Linked DNA regions of Mus musculus: all the other regions are reported to be linked to region 5. Evidence: microRNA targets listed by miRTarBase, many of them from high-throughput screens and not tested one by one. Region 5 holds a microRNA gene; each other region holds the end of a gene's coding sequence.
The links. Region 5 holds the annotated microRNA mmu-miR-124-3p (UAAGGCACGCGGUGAAUGCC, at 3,633-3,652, opposite strand). A microRNA usually pairs through its seed, bases 2 to 8, with sites in the 3' UTR of a target mRNA and lowers its output. Matches are read on the target gene's strand: a 7mer-m8 pairs with bases 2 to 8, a 7mer-A1 pairs with bases 2 to 7 and ends in A, and an 8mer does both.

Region 1: the mRNA of Gmcl1 is a reported target of mmu-miR-124-3p. Seed matches in the 3' UTR shown: 7mer-m8 at 3,848-3,854 and 7mer-m8 at 3,373-3,379.
Region 2: the mRNA of Slc7a6 is a reported target of mmu-miR-124-3p. The part of its 3' UTR that is shown has no 7-base or 8-base seed match.
Region 3: the mRNA of Anxa4 is a reported target of mmu-miR-124-3p. Seed matches in the 3' UTR shown: 7mer-A1 at 944-950 and 7mer-m8 at 1,590-1,596.
Region 4: the mRNA of Eya3 is a reported target of mmu-miR-124-3p. Seed matches in the 3' UTR shown: 8mer at 3,642-3,649.

The regions. Positions count from the first base shown.
Region 1 is chr6:86,688,676-86,693,777 of GRCm38, forward strand. It overlaps Gmcl1 (germ cell-less, spermatogenesis associated 1), which reads right to left. Exons shown (of 14, transcript NM_011818.3): 14 at 3,093-4,376. The coding sequence ends at 4,248. Among named protein-coding and RNA genes, the nearest start is that of Snrnp27, 6.7 kb to the left of the region's middle.
Region 2 is chr8:106,195,617-106,200,718 of GRCm38, reverse strand. It overlaps Slc7a6 (solute carrier family 7 (cationic amino acid transporter, y+ system), member 6), which reads right to left. Exons shown (of 10, transcript NM_178798.4): 9 at 4,683-4,866; 10 at 2,005-4,175. The coding sequence ends at 4,081. Slc7a6os (solute carrier family 7, member 6 opposite strand) reads left to right here. Exons shown (of 5, transcript NM_001007567.2): 5 at 1-281. Among named protein-coding and RNA genes, the nearest start is that of Slc7a6os, 13 kb to the left of the region's middle.
Region 3 is chr6:86,733,431-86,738,532 of GRCm38, reverse strand. Anxa4 (annexin A4) reads left to right here. Exons shown (of 13, transcript NM_013471.2): 13 at 710-1,693. The coding sequence ends at 769. Among named protein-coding and RNA genes, the nearest start is that of Gmcl1, 2.6 kb to the right of the region's middle.
Region 4 is chr4:132,720,301-132,725,402 of GRCm38, forward strand. It overlaps Eya3 (EYA transcriptional coactivator and phosphatase 3), which reads left to right. Exons shown (of 17, transcript NM_210071.2): 17 at 979-4,465. The coding sequence ends at 1,059. Xkr8 (X-linked Kx blood group related 8) reads right to left here. Exons shown (of 3, transcript NM_201368.1): 3 at 4,604-5,102. Among named protein-coding and RNA genes, the nearest start is that of Xkr8, 9.7 kb to the right of the region's middle.
Region 5 is chr2:180,892,633-180,897,734 of GRCm38, reverse strand. It overlaps Mir124a-3 (microRNA 124a-3), which reads right to left and starts at 3,695; the gene lies at 3,628-3,695.

The DNA of each region.
Region 1 (5,102 bases), not on the chromosome of region 5:
GCATAGCAACAGAACTTGGGGTGGCTGGTTACAGCCACATCTGTAGTCAGGAAGCAAACAATGTTGAATGCTGTAGGTTCAGCCATCCACCTTTTTGTACAGTCCAAGACTCTGAGTCACAGAATAGCACTACCTGTATTTAGGATAGGCCACCCACACCCCAACCTCATATAGACATAATCCCCCACAAAGAGATATGCTGAGATTAGTTAGTTTCCATGGTGATTCTAAATCCCATTGAGGTGACAATCAACACCATCCAGTACATTTCCCAAAGTCAAGCGATAGATAGCTAGTTTTTAAAATCATCGCAGCAGGCCCTGGGAGGTGTGGTCTGTGTCATCTGGTACCTAGCCCATGAGTGATTCAAGCAGGGAACACTGGCCTGGCCTGACAGTTGGCTTAAAGAGACAACAGGGCTGGCCCGATGGCTGAGCAGTTAATACCACTTGTTCTTTCAGAGGACTGGGGCTCAGTTCCCAGTCACCCACAAGGTGGTTCACAAGCATTCATGATCGCATCCCAGGAGATCCAATGCCCAACATCAGGCACACACACTGTGCAATGCACACATGCAGGGGACACATGCATCGTCAACCTTTAACAAAATTAAAAGACGTGGTTGGGGAAGTAAGGTTTGGACTGGCTGCTCTGTGTAGACGCACATGTGAAGGGAGTCCACGGGTTGCCCTCTCAGCAAAGTACGAGGTGTGGAAATATCAGAAAATAAAACATCACCACTAGTCACACTATTCACATACATTGCATATCTAGATATCAAAGGTACTTAAGTTTGAGAGGCTTGTAGGCGTGAGAGGGATACAGACAAGGAAGCGTTACAGAAGTGTAGCCGCAAGGAATAGGACAGCAGGAAGGCACAGATGAGGGGAGGGTCATGCAGAAGAGCTTCCAGAAGGAAAGGAGTAGAAGCCAGCCAGAAAACAAGGGGGAAATGTGAGCTGGGGAGGGTCTTTGCAAGAGGTGGGGGATATGAAGGTGAGACCTAGGGTGACCTGATGGCACATGTGGTGCCTCTTCAAAGTTTTAGGGGTGGGGAAGAGAAGTAGACTTGGGTTTTTTCTGAGGACAATTTGTGGTAATACAGAGAGACTAATTAAAGAAAAACACCCTGGAGATAAGGCTATGAATCTGGGTGGGTGTTGCAGTCTGTTGAGTATGATAGCAGAGATGGGGTAACTTACAGTGCAAACCTGTGGAGGTTCTGGTATCATGGGGCCGGAGTGCATCATGTGGTGTGAGATCGACAAAGGACAAGGTAGGACACCACTCTATAAAAGCTGCACTGGCTCACAAAGGGCTTAACCACCTCTCACACCTCACACTTAACAACTCTAATGCATAAGGGAACACATTTCCGGGGTGTACTGAGCAGTAACCTCAGCACTTGGGAGGCACGGACACTGGGAAGTATAGGCACAAGGATCTCCAGTCTGAGGCCAGCTTGGACTACACAGTGAGAGCCCATGTGAAGAAAAGCTAACCCCAAAAGTTAGTGGCCAGTACTGCTTCCATTTGCTTACTCTCTTGCCAAGGTTCAAGGTAAATTCTTAGAAAGGACTGGAAGTATGTGTGTGTGTGCACGCACATGTGTCCATGCCCCTCTGTAATAATTCAGGATGAAACTACAATATGGGGGCTGGAGAGATGGCTCAGTGATTAAGAACACTGACTGCTCTTCCAGAGGTCCCCATGTTCAATTCCCAGCACCCAGTGGCTCACAACCATCTGTAATGGGATCCGATGCCCCCTTCTGGTGTGACTGAAGATAGCTACAGTATACTTATATACATAAATAATTCTAAAAATATAAAAAATAAAAAAACTACAATATATTCTCTTAACTGATATAATAGACAAAGAAATTATTGTTGGTGGATAGCTTTCTAGTTTTAACATTTAATAAAAACCCAACTCACCCAGAACTTGGCAGAGGCTATGTAGAAGGGCTGACAAATATGAAGTCTCCATATTCGATGGTTACTGTCACCTGACACTGCTGCCGCTTTGTAAGCTGACAGTGACCAGGAGAGTGTGCTAACCAACAGGAACCACCCTGACTAGTGACCTAAATTGTTGTTGGTATATTTACGCTTTCATTTCCAAGAGTTGTAAAAATATATTTGAGTATGATTGTTTGTCGTTGTTATGTTCTCTGTTGATGATGTTTTAAAGTAGGGTCTTGCAATGCATCCCAGGCTGCCCACAATCTTGAGATTCTCCTGCCTCAGCTTGTTGAGTGCTGGGATTACAGAAGTGTGCTTTATCTGTTTTCTTGGTTTTTGTTTTTGTTTTTTAACTTAACATATAAAGAGTAAAGAATCTCTTATGCATCTGAAAGAAAAGAGCAGCAGGAGAGAGATAATCACAGCCAGGTGCACAGTCAGAAATGTAGCCTCTCACCGATCCAGCCACTGCTTTAGCAATCTCCAGACAACAACTCTACGAGGGAGGAGGCATTCACAGCAGTGGAATTCTGAAAGACAGGATAATTTGTGAACCTGTCACTGACTGCCAGCAGAGAAAAGCCACCATTGAAACTATTCAAAGCTAAAGGCAGGCAGGAGTAGGTGCTGTGTGTTGGAGAGTAAGAGCCCAGCTAAACCTTTCTTTTCTACATTTTGTTGTTTTCCTACCAGACATACCTGCAGCCTGCTAGATCTACCGAAGTCTGTCCTGCAGCCTTCCACAGCTGAGGCTGCCTGCCTTGGGACCTAACTCAGAGCAAGCTTTCTCTCCCTTTTCTAGCTCCTCCCCAGAAGCCGCTGACTCAGTTTTCCAGCCCGGCTGTCTTTTCTCCTAGTCGTAACAGAATTCTGCTTTAAAAGAAAACAAACACAAAGGATCAATTACTTGGAAAAAAAAAGAATCCTAGTTTCAGCCAGGTGATAGTGGCACACCCCTTTAATTCCAGCACTCGAGAGGCAGAGGCAGGTGGATCTCAAAGCCAGCCTGGTCTACAGAGTGAGTTCCAGGACAGCCAAGGCTATCTTGAAACCCTATCTTGAAAAAACCCCAAAACTAAAAAAACTAGTTTCAATAAGCTTTTTAAGTTCACTTTAAACAGGAGCATATTCCTTTTCCAAATGAGCATTTATTATTTGAACAGATACATAAAAATGATTCCAATTTAAAAAAATACTAAAAACATACATCAACCACAAAAACACTTACTCTGACTGGAGGACAATGATCCAGGCTATTTTCAATAGCAATAAACACAAGGGACCAACACATACAGATCGGGATGAGCATACATCTTATTCTTGACAAGGTAAGTTGTTCTAACACGACTGTTTTGTTCCCAGCTCCCCCTGTACATTCACCATGAAATCTACTTATGTATGTGACTCAAAGGCACTCAGTTCAGAGGGTATAAAGTCCTGAGCTTAATAGGAAACAAGATTCCCAACTAAAATTTGACATAAATTCCAACTATCAGAGAATATGAAAATGTGTGACGATGTATCTGTACATAAATAATTCATAACATAAGAGTACACAGAATGCCAGACAAGACCATGCACGTAAGGCGAAGGAATATCCTCAGAATCAAACTGATTTCCCTTATTCAAGTTTATTTCAAGTCCTCAAGCTGATTCTTGTTGTCATTTAAAACTGTAGGAAAGTTAAAGTTTAAAAAAATATGAAAATGCTTATATTTAGAATAAAAAAAGAAAAAAGAAAAACGAAACAAAACCAACTCTTAAGCTTAATCTCCCAAACCATGACAAGGGATCTGATGGCTAAAACGAAGAAGATTCTGGAAAGGATCTCAACTGAACACAAGACTTCACCAGGTGGCTGAACAAATGAAAGGACAGCTTTAAAGGCACCAATTGAAAGAGCATTTATGATTGGCCACTTAAACTCCGTCCTTAGCATTCTCTTAACAAAACAGGAACACATTTACAGATGAGTAAACTCACTAACATTAGATAGGATCGAAATTCAAGCTCAAAATTAAATCTATATCTTGTTGCAAAGAAATGAGAAATTTACCTACAGCAATTTTTACTGCTACTAAATTAAAGCAAGAGTTGATATCCTTTTAACATGGTTTGACAGATGCTTTCTCAGTTTTAAAAAACTTTTTCATATGTGCATAGAAATGTAATGAGGGTGAGGACATCTCCAGGGTCCCACAGTTCATAAGGCCGGTCACTGTTAGTCACCTTGGACGTGAACGCAGTAGGTCATTAAGTTAAAACTGGCCACTGATGAGTGCCTCAGTGTCCTGGGTTTTCTGGGTGACGATTACTCTCAGTTCTTTTTTCTGGTGATATATACAAGAAGTTACAGCAGATGTACAGAGGGAAGATCAGAAGTCTGCTGTCCAAGTTCATCACCACTTGCTCCTACAAGACAAATACATTAGTGAGTTTGATGACAACTAGATAGCCCCATCTTATAACATTAGTAAGTTGAGCTGTTGGATAAAATAAGCATGAGGAAGCAGCACAGGATGAAGCACTCGCCACAGCTGCACCCATCCAGCCAGCCCATTAGCTGCCTGCATGCGCTTGTTACTTCTATCTTCCTCAATGTTTAGCTCCTGGGTCACAGGGTGGCACTAAGGACTAAAGCTGGCAGAGCCAGCTCCTCAACAGGGGCAGCTATTTTCATTCTTCTAAGACTGTATATCTAGTTCCTGCATATTTTATGAGCACACAGCTCAGAGGCAGAGCACATGCATAGTGCTAAGGCCCCTGTGCACAGTGATCTGCTCATTCGCTTTCAGCTCTAAGACTCCAGTACAGCATATTACTGGACTAAGACAGGGAGTCACTGCTGTCATCACCACCACAGCTCCTGCCCTGTAAAGTCCTATCGTGTCTAGAACACAGCACAGAGTGTATTATATAAAAACATTCTAGGCTCAGCTACATCCTCTGAAGACTGGTGGTGAGAGCCACAAGGGAACCACCACTAATGCTTTCTATGTTTTTGGATCTCACAGATTTGTCACCAGGACTACAGAGAGCATAGGAAGTTCTTCAAGGGAGCAACACTGAAATGAACATTCCCATCATCTAACCCTTGGGAACGTCTCATACACTGTAAGCATCAGTCGTGATATATGT
Region 2 (5,102 bases), not on the chromosome of region 5:
TCCATCCCTGGTGGTTTTTCTGTCATTTTACTTATATGCTCAGGGCTAAAGAAGCTGGTGGGAGGAGGGAGAGCCCGCTCCCAGTGATGGAGATGATCTCTGCAAGGACAACAGTGACTCCCCCGCCTCAGGGCGGTCATGTCTTTCCCCCCCCCCCCCCCCCGCCCCCTTTAGACTCTGATAATGGTTATAAAGACTGCTATCACCTTTGGCAGTGGTACCAAGGAACAGTATGTATGAATGTGATGATCTTTAATAAAAACTTAACTTTTTACACAGAAGCAAGCAGTTCTTTTTTAGATCTGATTATTTTAGGTGTTTTCCTCATAGAAAAAGGAGAGGTTGGTGAACTACATGTTTCAAAATTAACTTTAAACATTATGGGCCATGTCAACTGTTTATAGCACTCACCCAAGGCATTACATACATCACCCTTGTTATATGGTTCTAGGGCTGCCAAAAACCACCATGTGTCCAAGTCCCTTACATAAGATGACACGGTATGTCTACAAAGTCTATGCCTCTTCAGATTATAAAAATCTAATGTAAACACTAAATTATTATACCACAACTCTTTGGAGAATGAGAGTAAATCTTTCCATATTTAGAATAGGCACATTGCCCCAAAATGTAGATTAGTAAATGCAGGGCCCGTACATGGAAGGCCAACTGTCATCAATAGGACACTGTCACCAGAACTCAGCATCTCAGCTGCCTTAGCCCTAGATGTAGTATTGTCCAATAAAACTTCCCACAGCATGTTCTGTGTATCCACGGTACACCTGTGTGGCTTCTGAGCACTTGAAATATGATTAGGGCAACTGAGAAACTTCAACGGTTTTTGTTTGGGGAGGGGATGATACAGTCTCTGTGTAGATGAGGCTGCCTCAGAAGGGATCCACCTACCTCTGCCTCCCTAGTGCTGGAATTAAAGGCATGAGCCACCACAACCAGCATTTGTGGGGGAGGGAGTTAAATGTAAGTTGCAATCTTGTCTTAATCTTCCAAGTGCTAGTGTAATGCACGGACACTTATCAAACTGGCTAGATTTTAGTTACATGTGACTAGTTACTGTAGCAGACACTAGGTGTAGGGAAGTAACAGGCAACATTCAATTCAGCAAATACCCTCTTCCTGTGACAGATCCATGGGAAAGTAACTCAGATGCCTTCTTCCAAGTACTTACAAGTTCATACGCTTCTACACATCCTTTCACTTACCTAAGTAGAAGTTATTAAACTTGTCAAAGTGATCTAATTTGTATATCCAAGTGGTTATTGGAACTAATCAAACCAATCAACAAAAACTATCTCGGTTACTCTGAGTATCAACAATTCAGTGTTTTGAGCAAAAGGCAGCAATGTGGTATCTAACACTAGTCATCTTGATCTGTAGGCATATAAGCAGGAGTAAAATTCTATTTACCACTACAGTGTGCTCACTGTTATGCTAACGCTGACATTAAAGAGCCAACAACTTCACAGGCTGTACCTACTACAAGAGGGGAACAATGTACCACTATAAATGGGATTAGCACACTGGGAGGTGGATTCAAAGAGACAAAAGACCTGATGGGAAGAATTCCACTATCAAGCTTGAATGCTGTACAAGTCTGGTTTCTTTCCCACAGAAAAGGTTCCTGGGGGAAGCTGTGTTCAGCTTAGAAAGAAAAAAAATGCTATCAGTCAAGTGACGATGAGAACATGGCTCACTAAGGAAGTAATAGAGCACCTTCAGTGTGAGGTCCCTGCTTTTAGAAACCACTGGAGGGCAGCAGACTCCTGAGATAAGCTGGTTAAGGGCCAAAGACCACTAAAACCAGGGTCATAACTTGCTTTGCTCTAGCAGAGCCTTGGAATGGATACCAGCTTAGCTCAGATATGAATCATGCTTGTATGGCTTAGGCAAGTCAGTCTTTACACAAAGCTCCTTATCAGACAGGATTCCCAACCCATGACAGTAGGAATGTCACTCTCTCAGAGATGCATGTCCAGAACCAATGGCAACTGTGATTAGACTCCCCTAAGTCTTTATTGAGCAAGCATATATCTAAGGTTACTCCTGTGAGTCTAGAGCCAGTTTGGTACTGGGAGACTGCCACATAGTTACTATCTGTATTGTTCACAAATTCTAAAACTTGAAATGTCCTTGAAGGATGCCAAGACAGCATAGCAGGTTCTTCTGTGTCCAAGGTGGCAATGTCTAAGGGCATCAAAAGAGTTCTACAATCTTGTGTAGACACACTGCTCACAGAGATTCACGCCTATTGCTTTGGCTTTAACTGGCAGCCTAGTCCGATCACCAGAATTAGTTTCTACCGTTTACCAGGAGCGAGGCTGGGGTGGAAGCTGTTTTCTCCCACAGTCTTCATCGATCTTCATAGGGAGAAGACAGATGCACAAGTACCAAGCATTTTCTGAGACTTCAATCTCACCTGCCCAGCCCTTGGACAAGAGAAGGCAAGCGGGTATACTGTCCCATGACCCAAGCATGTAAACAAAGCTTGGTGCTTTCAGAAAATTAGTGACCACTTCCAGCAGAGTGGGCTTTTGTGAGTCCATACATAGCCAATCTTGCACAGGCTCTTAAAGATAACAAACTATTTGACTTGAATCCAGGAGTCCAGTGACAACTGATAAATCAGGTTATCTACCTGAATTTTGCATAACACCTTATGTAGAACATTCCAGGCCTCTTGCAGTTCATACCAAAAATCCAAAGATTTATTTTATGTCAAGTAGAACAAAGATCTACAGTCTTAATAAAACAAAGGATTGTCCTTCAAAATAGCAGTATTATGACTCATGAAGTTGCTCATCTGTCCTTGCTGGATCTGAGCCAGATGATAATAACATGTGACTTATCTGTATATTAAAGTATAACAGGTATATTGTGAGACAAGATCTTGTCTGATCTTTCCAGAGTGGCTACCTGGAAATTATGTAGCCTAAATTAGCCTCAAATTCAAACTCCTTATGCCTCACCATACCAAGTTCAGATTACAGATGTGTGCAACCAGGCCAGCTAAGATAAAAACACAATTCACTTATTGCATCCTATAGAGAAATGATCACTAATGGTTTGTTACAACTGGTATCCTGGATTAAATATCAATAAATAATGACATACAGGAGTTGAAATTTGGTGACAGTTGTGGCTTGTCCAGGTAGTAGAGACGCTCCACTCAGCTGGAGTAGTGAGGTTTTTCTCTCAGCCCTTGTTTCAAGGGCTCCACAGCACCATGGATTCAGCTAGGAAGGGCACAATCAAGTGGCCCAGTCGAATTCCTTGAAAAGCCAGAAGCTCACCTCCTTGCCTGAGAATCCTGACCATACTGCTAATGTGACCTAAGCAAAGTCAGACAGGCAGCCCCTCCTCAAGGAGAGGGACACTCTATACACAATAAGATCCCAAAGACACAGCAACATTCGGATCCACGAGTTAGAGGACTTTCATGCCTAGATCCTCAACAGTCTGCTTCCCATTAAGCTCACTGTCTGCTTGAGCCTGAAGTTCCGGGGAGGGAGGGAGTGTTGTTCCTCTTGTGGAATTCAGGAAGGAGGCACACATTGATCCCATGTCAGTTACACAGCACCTTGCTGTTCATGCCACCCAACAAACAAAAAGGGGAACACAACGCTCTCCTCAAGGAAGAATTTTGAGCCATAGGAAGAAATGGTAGCATTTCAGACCTCTAAAAATCAAGTAGCTGGACTTGGTCAGAGGGTCAGAGGAAAACTTCCCATGAAGGAGCCCCACTGTAGACTCCTGGTTTAAACTACAAAGAGCTGTGAATCAAGAGCCAGAGCTGTCAGTCTAATATTCCTTCAGGGCTGCATCTACTCATCAGAAGTAAAACTAAATCAATGCCCTGCCCAACCTCCCCTCCCACTGAAGTCCCCATCTTCAGGCTGGCCTAATTGGTATCTTCCCATAGCTTACCAATGAGAGAGCATTGGCCCTGAGCCCCCTTACAGAATGTGGGCCAAGAGGCTCCTTTAATTCAGAAGGTTTAGGGAACTGGTCTTTGGTGGCTGCGACCACAGCCTTTTGGGCTTCAGGGAATGTCATCTCTGGCTTCTAGTCAGTTTTCCTCTCAACATTTTTCTCTTCAGTTACATCTAGCTCAGTCAAGACGCAAAAGCAAAGCTTCTGGGTGACTCTGGTGACAGTAGCTGTATGAAGATAAGAAGCACAGGACTTAGCAAACACACTCGCTGCAGTTACGATCTCAATAGCAGAAGGCTGAAAGAATATCTGTGATGCCTTCCCACCTATCCCTTAGCCACACAAAGCCTGGTCTTGTCCCTTACAACCAGCAAGCCTCTCCACTCCACACCCAGCCTTCTCTTCCCAGAGGTGGTACACGCCTGGAATCCTAGCACTCCTGCCTGGTTAAAGGCAGGAGGATGAGGAGTCTCGGGTCATCCTCAGCTACATAGTGAGGTCAAGATTAGCCTGAGTTACACAAAACCCTCTCTCAAAAAATACAACAAACCCAAGAACACTGGAAAAAACAGACAGTGCTTTAGCCCTAGAGTAGAACACAAAAAAGTGTGATGGGAAACCAGGTCTTATCCTTTTGCCATAAGGAAGGAGAAGAGTTGGTAGCCTCTGTGTAGCCCTCAACATAAGCACTCAGCCTCCAACAGTGGGGCAAATGGGAGCAAAGAGACACTCACCCAGCACATTCCTAATAAAGAGTGGTCTCCGGGACTCTGGCAGGTATACACCCAAGAAGTAGACAGGGACCCCAGAGAGGGCAATCCCAATGCCAATGAGGGAATTGATGGTGTCACTGAAGAGGGGTACGGCCACCAGAAACAAGGAGCAGACGCAGAACACGATGGGAAAAAAGAGGCTCAGCTGAAATAGAAGAGTGAGATTTAGTAGGGTGGGATGATGGAACACAGCTCAATCAAAAGGCACCTTAAGAGGAGGACCCGGGGCTGGAGAGATGGCTCTTCCAGAGGACTCAAGTTCAATTCCCACCACCCACAGCAGCTCATCTGCCATCCTTGCACAGACATGCAGGCAGAACACCAATACACATAAAAATAAATAAATCTTTAAAAGAGAAGAGGACCCCTCCCTCCTGCTAG
Region 3 (5,102 bases), not on the chromosome of region 5:
GTACAGGGGAACGCCAGGGCCAAGAAGTGGGAGTGGGGAGGAGGGTATGGGGGACTTTTGGGATAACACTGGAAATGTAAATGAAGAAAATACCTAATTAAAAAAAAACTAGATATAAAGGTTGAGTGTACAGTTCACTAGTAGAGCACTTGCCTATACTTGCCTAGCATGAGGACGGCCATGATTTGGTCCTGGCACCACCAAAAATCAAGAGAGCAAAATGAGGACATAGATGAATTCCGTCCTAAAAATCTCATCACGTAGGTATCTGCATGCATATAGAAAGGAGAAGGAACTTGTCAGAATGTTAGGAACAGTGATCTGTAGGTCATGGAATTATAGGTGATTCCTATGCTCTTAAGTACTTTTTTAAAACACAGAACATGTATATGTATATGTACATATGTATATGTGCCTCTCATGTGCAGTGCCCAAGGTGACTAGAAGAGGGCATCAGATCCCCTGGAGCTATTATTATGGGCAACTGGGAATACCAAAACCCAAGTTCAGATTCGATGTGAGAAAAAGAAGTAATCTTAGTGGCTAAGGCATTTCTCCAGCCCAAAGCATTACGTTTGTAATAAAAACAATTTTTGAGGACCTGAGAAAATCCAGTGAGGTTTGCAAAATAAACTTAGGTGATTTTGAACTGTGTAATCTATCCAAGAACATCTTACCCTGCTGCCTCCTGTGCTCTCCTTTCTCCCAGGGTGACACTTCCGGAGACTACAGGAAGGTTCTGCTCGTTCTCTGTGGAGGAGATGATTAACACAAGACGCCGCAGGACAGAAGGCTTCTGAACACTGATCTTTTTTTTTTTTTTAACTTCATTTTTCTGCACTGCTATTAACATTATCTCAAATGCTTATTTCCAATTAAAACGCCTCCAGTTGCCTCCTGGGATGCAGACTATGTTATTATCGTCTATAATTAGTCATTTTGATGCCTTAAACTTGTACTTTCAAAGCTTTCAAGACATACATGGAAATTTAGAATTAGAAATTGAAATGTGCTCCACGTCTTTATCAGATTATTTCCTCGTTTGTGTTTTGTAGAGGTTGAATGTACTAAATCCTTTTAGATTTTCTTTTCAGTACAAATTTTACAGATCAGAAGCCATTTTCTTCCCTAGGAAGCCAGTCATTTCTTCACGTGGGACTGTCAGCATCTCTTACTAAGATTAGCCATCTAGATTCTTATTTTAGACAGATCCAAAGTTCTCACAAGCCCCCTTTCTTTGGCTCTGCCTATCATCGTAGTTGACAGTTGCTGAATATGGTGGGGCTTGCTTCATCTCCTTCTACCCTGAGACCATTTTCTTCCCGGGAAGTGTATGAAACAGAGTTACCAACTCATCAAACAAGTTCAATCTCAAGTGTGGCTCAGCAGATCCCGTGTGCTCGGTCGTTCCTCGTGCTGAACATTCCTCAGTCTTAGGGTCACTGTCCTAATCTTGCTCAAAGTGACAGTCAAGAGTGGCCTCAGCCAAGGTTGCTCTGATAATGCAATGCTCTGGGTGTGGCTGACCTCAGAAGAGTTTTTCTGCTAAAAATAATTAATCTCGTTAGACTGTTTATTTGATCCCCACTGTGCCTTTTTAATCTTATTCAGAAACTGTGCTTGCATTTAATCATGAAGTTTGGTTTGTATACAACATGAGACATTTTTAATTAAAATGGTGGCTTTAAAGGGGTGTGTATTCTTTCTCTGATTTTTTTTCTACCCTAGAGATTTCTTTTCACCCTGAACCATGGAAGGAACTACTTTTGAAGGAATACTAAATTTACTAAGGATACTAAGTTTCTACTTAAATTAACAATATTAAAAAAAGAAACACATTAATCATTATGTCAGCCTGCTTCTATAAGGCCAATGTTTACATTGGAGAGGTGGAGGCAGGAAGATTGGAACTTCAGGCTGTGCCTGGCTACATAGCCACTGTGAGACCAGATTGGGCATATGAGTCCCTGTCTCAAAAAGTCAAAACAAGATCTGGGGAGCTGGCTCTGTGAGTAATGTATTTACTGCAGAAGGACGAGGAGCGGTGTTGGAATCCCTGGCACCAATGTGAAAGCCAGGCAGAGCCAATGAGTGTGTGCCTGTAATCCCAAAGCTGGGATGTGGCGATGAACAGATCCCAGGGGCTCACTGGCCAGCTAGTGTAGCTGAATCCCTGAGCTTCAGTTTCAATGGTAGGCCCTGTCTCGATGATGATGGTGGTGAGGAGGAGGATGTGGTGGTGGTAGTGAGGAAGAGGATGGAGAGTAAGACAATGATGTCAGCTTCTGATTTCCACATGGGTGCACACAGCCACACACACACACACACACACAAACGATGAAATTGAGATGGCTTAGTGGGTAAAGGCTCTTTCTACCAAGCCTGACAACCTGAGTTCAATCCTTAGAACCCACGTGGAAGAAGAAAAGAACCAAGTCCCCCAGATTGTTTCCTTCTCCCATAAGCTAAGGAATAACACCCCTCTCTCATATCAAAAACGTAACGAAACCAACAAAACCACTAGCATTTAAATATGCTAAGGCCTACTCAATGGTATTGAATGACATGTTAGCTTGTTCTCTGAAAACGAGTGATTCTCTGCTCTAGTCAGTGCAGCATGCCTTTTAAGTGTCACATGGAACTGAGCTCAGTGGGGTAGCTATACCCTGTGTTCTCAGCACCACAAAGGACAAAAGTTGCAGATGTACAAAGAACACACACACACTCCTTTGTTCTTTCTGCGTTGGTACTGGGATCACTGACAACATTGCTATGTGACAGTCACTCCAATGAACTTAGATTCAGGTATCAACGCTACCACCTCAGGACTGTGGAATCTCTACTCCAACTTTATTACACTTTGGAGGCATTATTAGGTTCTTTGTTTTGGTTTTAACAGAAGTTTTACCATTACGTGGTGTCTTAGCCAAAATTTTAAGAACAGTGTTTTGTGGCTGAGTGCTTTCAGTGGGCTGTTTTTCTTATCCTTAGGTATAAGTTCAGGGGGAGGGTAGAAAGTCACAATTTTCTGCTCACTCTTGGCTTTTCAGAAGTCCTACTGTGTAGCTAGCTCCTCTAGGCCCCAAAATAATGTCATCTCAGTCATCAACATAATAAGCCAAAGTTCCAAGTGTAGTCTGAGGTTTCTTTCCTCAGTCAGTTCTGGCCTCAATGGGATGCTGGCTTGGGGAAGGGAAGTCAGGGCAGGGGACGAGGGCAGGGGACTGGAATGGGGGGAGGGCACTTCTCTTTTTCTCCATCATCCCTGCTTGTAGCAACAGTGAGAAGAGCAGAGGGGATCAGGTCAGTTCTTGCACTGCCCTTGCTCTGAGGGTGGAGGCTAAGTCCTATGTGGCTGTGGCAGGCTCTTACAGACATTGCCATGGCTCTCCTCAGTATCCAGGGAGCCATTCACCTGCGCTTCCTTAGACAAGACCAATATGGATGTTTTACCCTCTAGGAATTTAGTGACACATGAAGCCACCATGTTACAGTCTAGCTTGTGCATACGCCAAGGCCTCTTTGTTTTTGTTTTTTGTTTTGGTTTTTCAAGACAGGGTTTCTCTGTATAGCCCTGACTGTCCTGGAACTCACTCTGTAGACCAGGCTGGCCTCGAACTCAAAAATCCGCCTGCCTCTGCCTCCCGAGTGCTGGGACAATGTTTTAAGATGACCTCACGTATGTTTCATATTATGTACATTCCTGCGTGTCCCCTGCAGCCACCGTAGTTCTCTTCCTCCCACTTCTCCTTCAACCAGCCTCAGCTACACACCCTCAGAATTTCTCAAACATGAGAAATTCCTCAGTGGCTCACAAAGGACATATACTGCTATAACGGAGTGCAAATGGTGAATTGATGCAGTCAGTTCCGGGGGGGGGGGGGCGAAAAACTGGCAAGAACTCGTAAAGTTGAAAATTTCCCAAGAGCCCGTTTCTGGGATCTGCCTGATGAAGCTTTTGCGAGTGGTGTTCCTGAAAGAGCATCTACGTAGAAATAACTGAAACCCCTTGGCAAGGGAGTAGGCAAATGATGTGTCTAACAATGAGCAGTGACAATAACTAGAGATTCCATTCAAAGTATAGTTTTAGGAGAGGAGAAATCATAGGTTTGGGATGGTCCAATTCCATTTAAATTACATGTCTGAATGTGCAGCAGAAGAGTGGTTATACGTGTAAAGACATGCATAGAAATGGCACAGAGAGGGAGAGGCTGGAAACTGAGAATTAGTACACAAGGGGTTTCTCATTCCCCACTATATATCAATAAAGCTAAAGGGGAGTGAATCAAAGTAAGTGTGATAGAATTCCAAGCCAGTAGTAGGTCCACAGGTACTTGTATTGCTCTGTTTGAAACATTCTATTATAAACATTTTACTTTGAAAGGTATAAAAGGCAGGTATGGTAGCTCAGTGCCTCAACTCCTAGCACTTAGAGGCTGAGATAGGCGGACTTCTGAGAGTTCCAGGGAAGCCTTGGGCTTCAGAGTGACACTTTTCCTTGAAGAAAATTTAAAAAAAAAAAAAAATCGAGGGCCAGGGATGTAGCTTAGTTGGTAGAATGTTTGCTTAGCATTCAAGAAGCCCTGCATCTGATACTCAGCATTTCAGGTCCACGAAGGTGATGTGACACATACATGGCTGTAATCCCAGCTTTCAGGGGGTAGAAACAGGAGATCAAGAGTTCAAGAGCATCCTATACAGTGAGTCGAAGTATGTAGTACGAGACACTGACACAATAAAATAATAATTAAATCAAAACAAGGCAGCAGAAGGAAGGCAAGACCTGGAGGCTAGCTGAGGCTCCAGACTGAACCCGGTCAACACAGCTGGGTGACGGTCATCTATCTAACCGGGCCAGTCGGGTCCTAGAGCCCTGGAAGCAAAGGCCATGTTGGCAAGTCCGTCCTCTTATTAACCGTACAGGGCTGGATGAGACCCCGGAATCGAGGAAGCTTACGGGAAGAACCAGCGACAGAGATCCCGAGATCTGTTAGGCATAAGCACACAGTGCCCACGCCCCTCCGTTGAAGCCGGAACCGCGGAAGTCAGACACGCACCGGGGCTGAGCGCCGCAGGGACGGGCCAGCAGCCTGCGCATGCGC
Region 4 (5,102 bases), not on the chromosome of region 5:
TCACAACCATCTATAATGGATGCCCTCTTCTGGTGTGTCTGAAGACAGCTACAGTGTACTCATATACATAAAATAAATAAATCTTTAATTAAAAAAAAGTCTTGAATGCAGGCAGATCTCTGAGTTTAAGAACAACCAAGGCTACTCAGAGAAATCCTATCTAAAGCGTTCCCCTCCCCCAAAAATCTAAGTGTTTTATGCAACTTAACCTACTTTCTGTCAGGTACCTTTCTGCCAGCTTTTATGAAAGAAAACTAATCTTTGCCTGAACGTGCCCCAAGGAGGAGGAGACTAATCCCATCAGCCTGCCCATGGGGTCAGCACACTGTTAGTGTCCTCCCTGCCATTCCTGCCCTGATCTGGCACTGCTCCACAGGGAACAGAGTCAATGAAACCAATCGGGTTCCCCTTCACAGAACGTGGATTCCAACACTCAAGGCCCTTCCAGCACTGTACATGGTGCCAAGGGGCACAAGCCTGATGGCGAGCCATCTGCACAGCCGACATCTGGGGCATGGGTAGGGTTTGAGCCTGCTAGAGCGAAGACTGACAGGAAATTGACCATCTGCAAGGTAGTGAGACTTACTTTAGTATCAGCTTCTTTCCCAGCCTATCAGTTGTAACAGGATCTCCTGTTGCTCGGCCTGGTCTCAATCTTCTAACGCTCCTGCCTCAGTCTCCCAAGTGCTGGAATCACAGGTATTCACCACCTTATTCAGAAATACTAATTTTTTTATTTGAGCCATTGTATTTGATCCTGAAGACCTTAAAAGCTGGAACAGGTATCTCATAAAAGTACAGGTAGCATTGAAACCTGAAAGTTCCTCATGTCAGGATAGTGTCCCGTGTTGGACAGTTATTACTCATGACTTGATGCTTCAGTCCTGTGAGGTGGGCAAGCATAGACGGTTACCAAGAGCCTCAAGGTGTCTGGTGGAGGGGTGTAAGCTGCGCTGACTATCCTTGCTTCTTTTCCAGCACAACATGCCCTTCTGGAGGATCACAAACCACGGAGATCTGGTGTCCCTGCACCAGGCTTTAGAGCTTGACTTCCTCTGAGAACTGGAATGTGGACCCTTCCTTCCTTGTGAGCTTCTCTTTACCTCCAACAGGAGCCAGAAGCCAGAACCCTCTGAGCCCCTTCTCTCCTGTCTGTCTCTCGGGTCTCAGTGCCCCCTCCCCCTTCTCTTCTGCTCTTTCTCCCTCCATGAAATGCTGGCGAGAACACAATCAGAACCAACAACTGCAGTTATTCTGAGTGAGCTGCAGCCCATGTCCCCTGTACAGCAAGAGGTGGCTGGATAGAGCTGCAGACCGGCTGCCGCTACCGTGCTTTAATTTTTCTGTTTCAATTGAAAAAGGAAGAACAAGAAAAGCCGATGCTTGGGGCACAGTTGTACTCTTGCTGCATGACGGACTGACCGGGAGCTGCTCCTGATGTGGATGGAAACTGTCCCCTTGAGATCGTCTTCTGGTCTCTTAGCTATAGAATGTCTCTCCCAGTGAATGGGTATGTTATTTTTATAGGTGAGGGTCTGGTCTCTACAGCAGCCTCCCCCACTTTTCTATGAAGAAAGCCGTGTGTAAAGTTTCCGTGACAGTAGTAATGGAAATATCTAAAATACCTCCGTGACTGGACAGGACAGAGGCTCCAGTGCTCTGCTCCCTGGGGAGGCTCCTTGCCATCTACAAGGCCCTGGTCACTTACTTTAGACTGTGGCATCTCCCATCTTGTAAGCCTCGGTCTCCTTGGCAGTCCTCCTTCATCTGTAACTAAATGGCACAACCCTGGAAACTCCTTCCCATAGACAATAAATCTAAGCCTTTAGCTTGTACTTCAGAAGTTCTGTCCCAGGAGGCTCAGCCTCCAGACTGGAGAGAAGGGCTCAGATTTCTTAGGACTTTCACCTCGTGCTCCTGCAGAGCAGTACCTGTTCCCAGCAGATGCTTCCTCTGTGGTCGGCTCAGTCGTCAGATGCTGGCCTCACGTCCTGTCCTCACAGCTACCTGTCTCTGTGCAGCTCTGGCCAGCCCCTACCCACTCATTGCAAGTCAGAAAGGCCAAGGGGGCAGGCTCTAGCTGCCTCCTTCACCTGCACTTACATGCGGTGATCCCACCTTGTATTTATACAGATCTCTGCCTACGAGTGGAGAGCAGAGAGCTAGAGTCAAAACCCATGAAATATCCCACTGCTTAGAGTCCATGCTGAAGTGGGAAACCAGGCCAGAAAGACTTTCTTGACTTAAGTGCTTAAAAATACAATCCTGAGCTAGGTGCAAGAGCACCTCTCAAGGCTGCCCCTAGTCAGTCAGGAGGGAAACTGGGCCTTAGTGCCAGCCCGCAAGCCCAGCTGTGTTTTGGTTTTATTTTGGTTTTTGTTTGGGTTTTTTGTTTGTTTTTTACGGCACTATCCCTTCAGGACCAATGTCGGTGCCTGTTTAATTGGGTTAAACGTCCCTAGAGTTGAGGAAATGTGCAGCCTTGGTCTTCAGGAGGTCCTTGACCAACCCCTAGCTATAGTCACTGTCCGCAGCGATACCACAGCCCAGAGGCAAAATTCCTCTTCATGCTAGGCTACCAGATAACGACAGAAAGGCTGACACCACCTTCAGAACTGTTGGACACTTCTGAGTACTTCTGAGACCAGCAGTTGAGGAAGGGGCTCAGACAGGAGGTGAGGTTTGTGTCTTGGCCATTCATTTGGCTTTGTTGTGAGGTACTGGGTGGGAGCAAGGAGCTAGAGTCTAAGTCAGACCCTCCTAGGCTGCCATTAGCACCACACCGCTACCCTAGTCTGGCCAGCCTTGCTTGGTGGTCCAACCTGGGAAACTCCAGGATGAGTTTTACTTCCAAGTCTCAGTCCTTCCCTCATTAACAGTGGAGTTTCTTGTGCTGGACAACGCCACCTATTAGTGCTGTGCTTCAGGCTCACCAGACTGCCAAGTGGCGACACACCCTTCTGCACACAGGTACCACCACAAACACTTCAGGGGAGACTCTTCTTAGAATATAACAGGTAATCCCTTTCCTCTTGCCCTGACTGGAGAGGCAAGGAGGTGTTCTGAGCTGAGTGGCTACTGTTCCCAAAGCAGCTACCCTGTCAGGGTAGACAGAGGAGTGCATTGGTCTCTCCAGGGACTGCTGCCTTTGTGCTGACTCCCTCCCTCCCTCCCTCCCTCCCTCCCTCCCACCCACCCACAGAGGCTTGGGAAGGAAAATGAGCAGGCAGCATCAAGAGCTGCTAGTAAGAGAAAGACAGCTTGGTGGTAATAGCACCCGCAGCTTGTGCAGAGGTCCAAGGTTTGAGCACCCACAAGGCTATTCACAACCTCTAGCTGCAGCTCCAGGGGGTTCGTTGCCCTCTTCTGGCCTCTTCAGGCACCAAGCACTTATATACGTGTAAGAAACACTCATAAAATAGAAATTCCTTTTAATATTAAAAGCTGTTGGAAGTTAGAAGGCAGTCCTTACTGAAGGAACACCTTGAAGAAATTAGCTGGTGAATCTTTTCCCTGCTGGATCCTGTGTTCTGGAAGATTAGTCAGGACATCTCATGGTGACAGCTAGTTCTAGGAGTGTGTGGGGTGGCAGGAATGTCCTGGGATACAAGGTGGCTTGACTTTCGAATGTAAAAGTGACTGTGCCTTAGCATCACCCTGTCCAGTGCCCCTGGGGCAGCCGGTGATGTCCGCGAGAGTGGATACCTGCTCCACATTTTAGGTGCCTACTTGGGCTTTTGATTTGGGGGTGTTCTCTTCTCTGCTAGTCGGGTGACAGCTAGTGTCCCAAGAGACTTGGCACAGCTTGTCCGTGTTCACCCAAGCTCAACCTTCACAGCTCCAAGTAGAATCTGACTGGCAAGCTGCAGCAGCAAGCTCATGGCGCTTCCATAGACACTGCTTTGAATGGGAGTCACACAACTGACAGGAGCACCAGGCAGAGCTCGGTGCTGTCCTGGAAGAGTGCAGGCTAGCCGCCAAGTGCCAAGCTTGGGCCTCATTCCTCACTCTCCCCAGGTAGCTGAGGCCCTTGAGTAAGCGTGTGCTCCCGGCTGCTCACTGGTCAAGCAGCTAGAACTACCCAGACACACCCATTGTAGATGCCAGGTTGGCGTTCTGAGCTTCCCAAACATCTAAACCACGAGGGGGAGAACCCCGCTTGTGTCCCAGCCTCATCTGCGGGCCGCTTGCCCTCCCTCTACCCTGAGTCAATTCTAGTGAGCATGGCTCCCTGGCTGCCTCCTCACACTGAGCGGAGCCATCCCAGTTCAGGACCATTTCTACTTGGATCTCCACTCTCCCTCTGGACTCCAGATGCCTCTGTAGCAGGAAAAGGCATCCATGGGTGGGATATATATATTTATGTGACTGCGGGCATTTGTGGCTATAGAGTCCTTGACCATAATGTTATATGTAATGGGAACTATCTTATAAACTTGAAAAAATAAAGTTTTTATTTTCTATACGGTTTTCTCCTTTGTCTTTTCTAAGCCATCCAGGGTCCTTCATCAAGATGTCACCCTTTAACTAACTGAGTCAGTCATTTCACGCACACACAAAGTCATCCTTTGGTCTATCCTGGAAAATAAACAATTGTAAGTTTGCGAGAGAAATGTTTATTTGAATTGTTTCTAAAATACACTGCTTTTTAAGGTATAGAAATGGAATGGATTTCAGAGCTGTCGAGTGTGCTGAACGTTACCAAGGAGGAGTCAGTCTGTGCTGAGCATTAATTAAGCCGCAACCCAATAAATCCTGACTTCCCGTCCCACCAACCAGGTGTTCTACATTCTGCCACATTTGGTCTGATTGGCCCCCACTAGCTTACAAGAGGGCTTTTTACCCATTGTTCCAGTGAAGGAAATTAGAAGTTGTTTCTAGCTTCCAAAGGTGAGATATGTCGGACTCCAAGGTGAATTTTCTCCGGGAAGTGATCTTCTGAGCCGCAGTGCAGCTCAAGTAGACTGTTAGCTGTTGTCCGTACCCCTGCTCAGTCACAAGTGCAGATTCTAGTGTTGGCTGGTTTCCAAACCCTGTAGTGCTTAGACCCCTGACTCCCGGCTGGCCAAGTGTTCCCGGGATTTGTGAATGAGAGACACACA
Region 5 (5,102 bases):
GCCTCAATGTCAAGGCTGTGGCAGCCAGGTAGGAAGTGTAGACCTTGGAAGGGCAGGCATGTTGCTATTATTACTATTAATTTTTGTTGCTATTATTACATCTTGGCTGATGCTAGGAGCTAGGGACATCTGTACCTAAGCTCTGAAGGGATGGGAGCAGCTGTGAGGGTGTAGGTGGCACAACAGGCTGTGCAAACGGACCCTTTTCATCCTCCCTTTAAATCAAATTCTGCCCGAGCCAGCACTTTCACGGTTCAGCTTCCAAGGAAGCCTAGGCCTGCTCATGTGACCAACTAGGAGGTCGCAGGTAGCCATGGGGATACTGGTTTACCCTTCTGGTCAAGCTGATGCTGAGGAGCAGCCTAGACCTCTGTTGGTAACAAAGGTCCGGGAACCTGTGTTGGGTAAAGGCAGAATCCTGTAGAATTTAGGGTACGAGTGGGCAGGCATGGGCTAAGGTAGAGGCCCCTGCAATCTGGACTCCCATGACTTTTTGATCACACCCCTGGGAGGTGCTGCCAATGAAGCTCTATTGTGGAAAGTAGAACTTGTGTGCCATGTGGACTGGGCATAGCCTGAGGCTGGGAGGAGATCTGTGTGTGTGCACTAGAGAAGCTGATACCTGTCTTGCTTCCTCTTGGATGGGGCCGCCATGCAGAATCAGACCCTCTTCGCTCCCTCCTGCCAATTGAAGTTCTTCCCACGTTTTCTTCTGTCTCTCTAACAAGCTATGGCAGGAGCACTCTAGCATCTTAATTTTCCCTCTGAAACATCTCTGCCCCCACCCGCTGCATCAGGAGTGAAGGTTGGGGCGATGAGGCGCAGAGAGGCTGGAGCCTCGGGTAGAGACTACCAGAGCACAGACTTCAGGGCAAGCAGTGCGGGGCTCCTGGATGCTTCCACGTGAAGTGCTGTGACTGGGAGCTGGAAGTATGGAGACAGGAAGCTGAATTCTGAAGCATCTCCAGTCCCAATAGGACAAAAAGGCTAAAAGTGACATGCTCCCCTCTGGAGAGAATTAGGGTTTCCCAAGAAAGCTATGAGGTGACTGCTCTGGGACAGCAGCTATGCTGCGCTTCATTCGGAGTGGAGATGTACTATATTGGATGCTCGAACCGTGTCTCTCCTTTCTCTAGTCCCTACACTTAAGAGGGCCCAGTGCCGATGGAGGTTTATGTGAATGTTCTGAATGTTCTTTCCCCAGCTTGCTGTTGACCAGGTTGGCACCCAACAAGCCCGTATGCTGAGCCTTGGCTTCTAAATAGATCAGGCAGTCTATGTAGGGATGAATGTATTTTAGGATAAACAGGGATGGACATCCAAGCTAGCCCACAAAGGCTACAAAGCGCGGCTGCAGAAAAGGCTGCTGGTCCCGAGAGTCAGAGAGTGATGCTTGCACTCAGCCCCCTACGGGTAGATCTGAGATTCTAAGTCACCTGCGTGAGGCCTGCCCACACCCCAGCAGACAGTGCTGCACCCTGAGCACAGTAAGGATTGAAAAATGGCCTTCCTACCGAATGCCCCATGTCTGCTAGCCATGCCCAGATTGGTCCTGTGCCCCTGAACTGAAGCCCCTAGCCTCCACTGAAGGGGGTGCAATGAAGGTGAGTGAAGGTGATTGCTACTCAACCTGGGCTGGGGCACAGGGCAGCTTGCCATGGGCTTTACCGCCTATCCACTCTCCAGCCCACCTCCCTTACCATCCTCCCCACCCCGATCTCTGCTCACAGCCCAGAAGGTCACTGTGGTCAGGAGCCAACTCTCCAGCAAGGGCAGCGGTGGCACAAGAATGGAGCTCTAGTTCCAGGGGAGAGGCAGGGGGAATCTTCCCTCTGGGAAAAGAGCCAGGCTGCAGTGTAGAGCACCCCCAACAGAGCTCAACGAGGGGCATAGTCCTGTGCCCCCTAGGAACCTTTACACTAGAGGACTGATACCTCTACCAATTCCTTCAGTATTGCTTTGAGTTCACCTTGCAGCTCTTCTGAGGGAGGAAGGGAAAAAGAGACAGCAAGCCCAAGGTCAGAGCTGTGGTATGCTTGGGCCCCTTCTCCACCCTCCAAGAGGCAGAGGTTCTGCAGAGGCTCTGCTTTGGGGACAGGATGCAAAGGCACTAGTGGTCTATGAGTGTGTGACTGTGTGCATCTCTCCATGGAGTACTGAAGCAGTCTCCCTGCAGCATCTCTTTGTGTCTTCACGCGGGCCCTTTTGTCTTGCTTTTCTGCAACTGCACAGGACTTGAGGCTAGGAGAATTTGGGCGGTCAGTTCTGGATCTGGGTCAGAGCCAGGAAAGGGGCTCACACTCACCCCATGAAGATGAAAAGCAAGTCTGCAACTTGTCTGAGGGGGTGGGGGTGCAGAGGTTGTGACCTCCTCCACTGACAGTCAATCCTAGGTCATCAGTTTCCAACCTGTGTATCAGGACTCCTTTGCCAAACTCTATCTCTAAAAATATTTACATTAGGATTCATAACAGTAACAAAATTGCAGTTATGAAGTAGCAACAAAATACGAAGTAGCAACGAAAATAATTTTATGGTTGGGGGGAGGGGTCACCACAACATGAAGAACTCTATTAAAGGGTAGCAGCATTCTGAAGGTTGAGAACCATTGCCCTAGGTAATAGGGCCTGTAACCTTGGGGATCGGAAACCTTGCTGGGAGGAGACATGCCAGAGCAGAGTCTCATACCAGGACGCCAGCAGGTGGCGCTGGCTGCCGAGGACAGGAAAAAAAATGCCTGCAGCAGACCTGAGTGGGTGTCACTGCGGCTGCAGATGGTGGTGGGGGAGGGAGGAGGAGGATTTGTCATTTTCTCTCTGGGCTGCAGAGCCTCACGTGCCTCGCGTCCCGCATAGCTGGAGAGAGGTTTGGGGGCGGGATGCGGTCCAGTGTATCCACCCAGATTTAGACCTTGGATGCAGATGCAGATCCCCCACTTCCACAGCTCGAACCTCAACCTAAGGTTCAGGGGTTTCTTCAGAATCAAAGTGATCACCGCCTTCACCCTGCGACCCCAACTAGAGCGCCCAGGGGACAGACTGCAGTGACCCCAGACCCTACCCCATTTCTCTGGGGTTGCTGCGGCAACTATCCAGGGCCCCCTAGATGGGAACAGTGATACTCATGACATCCCTTCGCCCCAAGCGCATTAGCGCCCCGTCTCTCTGGGTGACTCCACGGCCAGCACCGAGGACAGCGCCCAGGACTGCCCGTGGGTAGCGGGACGCGCCAACACAACCCGGGAAGCTGCACACTTCCCTCCCGCGCCCCTCAGCCCGCCGCTTCCCCAGCCCCTCCCTTTGTCTTCTGGCCCTCGTCTCCCTCTTCGGGATCTCGAGCACTCAGAGCTGCGGACACACGTGGTCAGGGGCCGGGTGGCCACATTCTCCCCCGCGGTCGCCCCCACCCTTCTCGTGACGTCCTAGGCATGCGGGCCCCTTTGTGTCCCGCGGCCAGATCCCCGGCCCAGCAGCTGGGCCGCCCTCTGGGCGGGCGCATTGTTCGCCGGATTTGTCCGCGGAGCGAGGGGCCACCGGGGGCCGGGGCTCGCCTTTTTCCCGCGGGAGGGGCGCCGCGACGGCCGGGCTCCCGGGCCATTTCCATGAGAAAGGAGCGGCGGAGGCGCCTCTCTTGGCATTCACCGCGTGCCTTAATTGTATAGACATTAAATCAAGGTCCGCTGTGAACACGCAGAGGGGCCCTCAGGGCTGCGGCGGGCGGCGAGCGGCTGGACCGGGTCGGGGCCGGGCTGCGGCTTGCGTGGGGTCCTAGCCTGAGGGGCGCGAATGCTCCAGCTTCTTCGCCGCGGGGCGGGCGGGCGGGGCGGGGCTCCGCGCTAAGCTGGCAGTGCTGCCCTGGTCCGCCCCCAACTCCGAGGAGCCAGTTTTCCTTCCCCTCCCCGAGGTAGAGAAGGGCCCGGGCAAATCCCTCGGGGCGTTCCTGCAGTAGGGACCCCTCGGAGCCGCGGCGAGGGAGATGCAGGAGCCGGCCGGGGTGAGCGCGCGTGCTCCGGCCTGCTGCAGTCTTCTGACGGGTGCAGAGCCCTCTCCACCCCGGCGGCGCAAGCCTCTCCGCAGCTGCCCTTCCCCGGCTCCTCTTCCCGGCCCCACCAGGAGTGCGTGAGTGCGGTGAAAATAAAGAACCTCGATGTTCGGAGATGAAAAGCAGTCTCTTTCTACAACCCGCCGAGCTCTCTTCTCTTACGCCTCTGGCTGGCGAGAAGCTGCTCGAGGAGAGAAAGACGGGGTGACCTGAGAGACCGGCTCGCCCCGGCACGGGCCGCCAGCGCAGTTACCCGTCCGGGCGCGAGCCGCCGCCGCCTGCTGCTTCTCGGTTGCCGCCTCCGCTCCGCAGCACAGCCTGCGCTGTCGCCCGATCCCGCCTCCGCCTCCTTCTTGGCGCCCGCAGGACCCGCACGCTACGGCCCCGGGTGGAGGAGAGCGCAGGGACAGTGCCAAGGAAGCCGGGCAAATTCCTGAGGGCCGGGTGGGAGCCCGGCGTCCGCGAGGTCGGCACTGCGGGAGTCTGACTCCCACTCTCCTTGCCTAGACCGGGTGCGACCGTCCCCGCGCTCGCCGCCGCCGCCGCTGCCTCCGCTCGTATCCGCGCTCGGCTCCGGCACCGGGCGATTATCACTGGGGCGCGCGGTGACGTCACCCGACACCGGCTCTGCCGCCTCCTCTCGGAGGTGTCCTTGAGAACTGAGGGGCACGCGCACCGCGTACACGCGCACTCACGCACCGCGCGACCCGTGCCTCCCGCGCACACGCTCGGCGTCCCGCTCCGCGCGCTCCTCGACTCACACGGATGCAGCCCTCGAACGCCTTCGATTGTGCCCGGCGCCCCGGGGTCACACGTATGCAGAGAAACTGCCTCTTGGACACTCTCGAACCGCTCATTCTGTCCTACTGCACGACCCACGCAAAAGCTTCTCCCGCAGCCCACCGACCGCAGCTCCTCTACACCCACCACCAGCCACACCCCGCTGTGCAGCGAACACACTGTGCTTGCCTCACACAAGCGGCTGGTCCTTCCGGAATAACCACTCTACACAGTGGCTTCTGAGCCTCTCTCTCCTGGGGGGGGGAAAGAAAGGGGTCCTA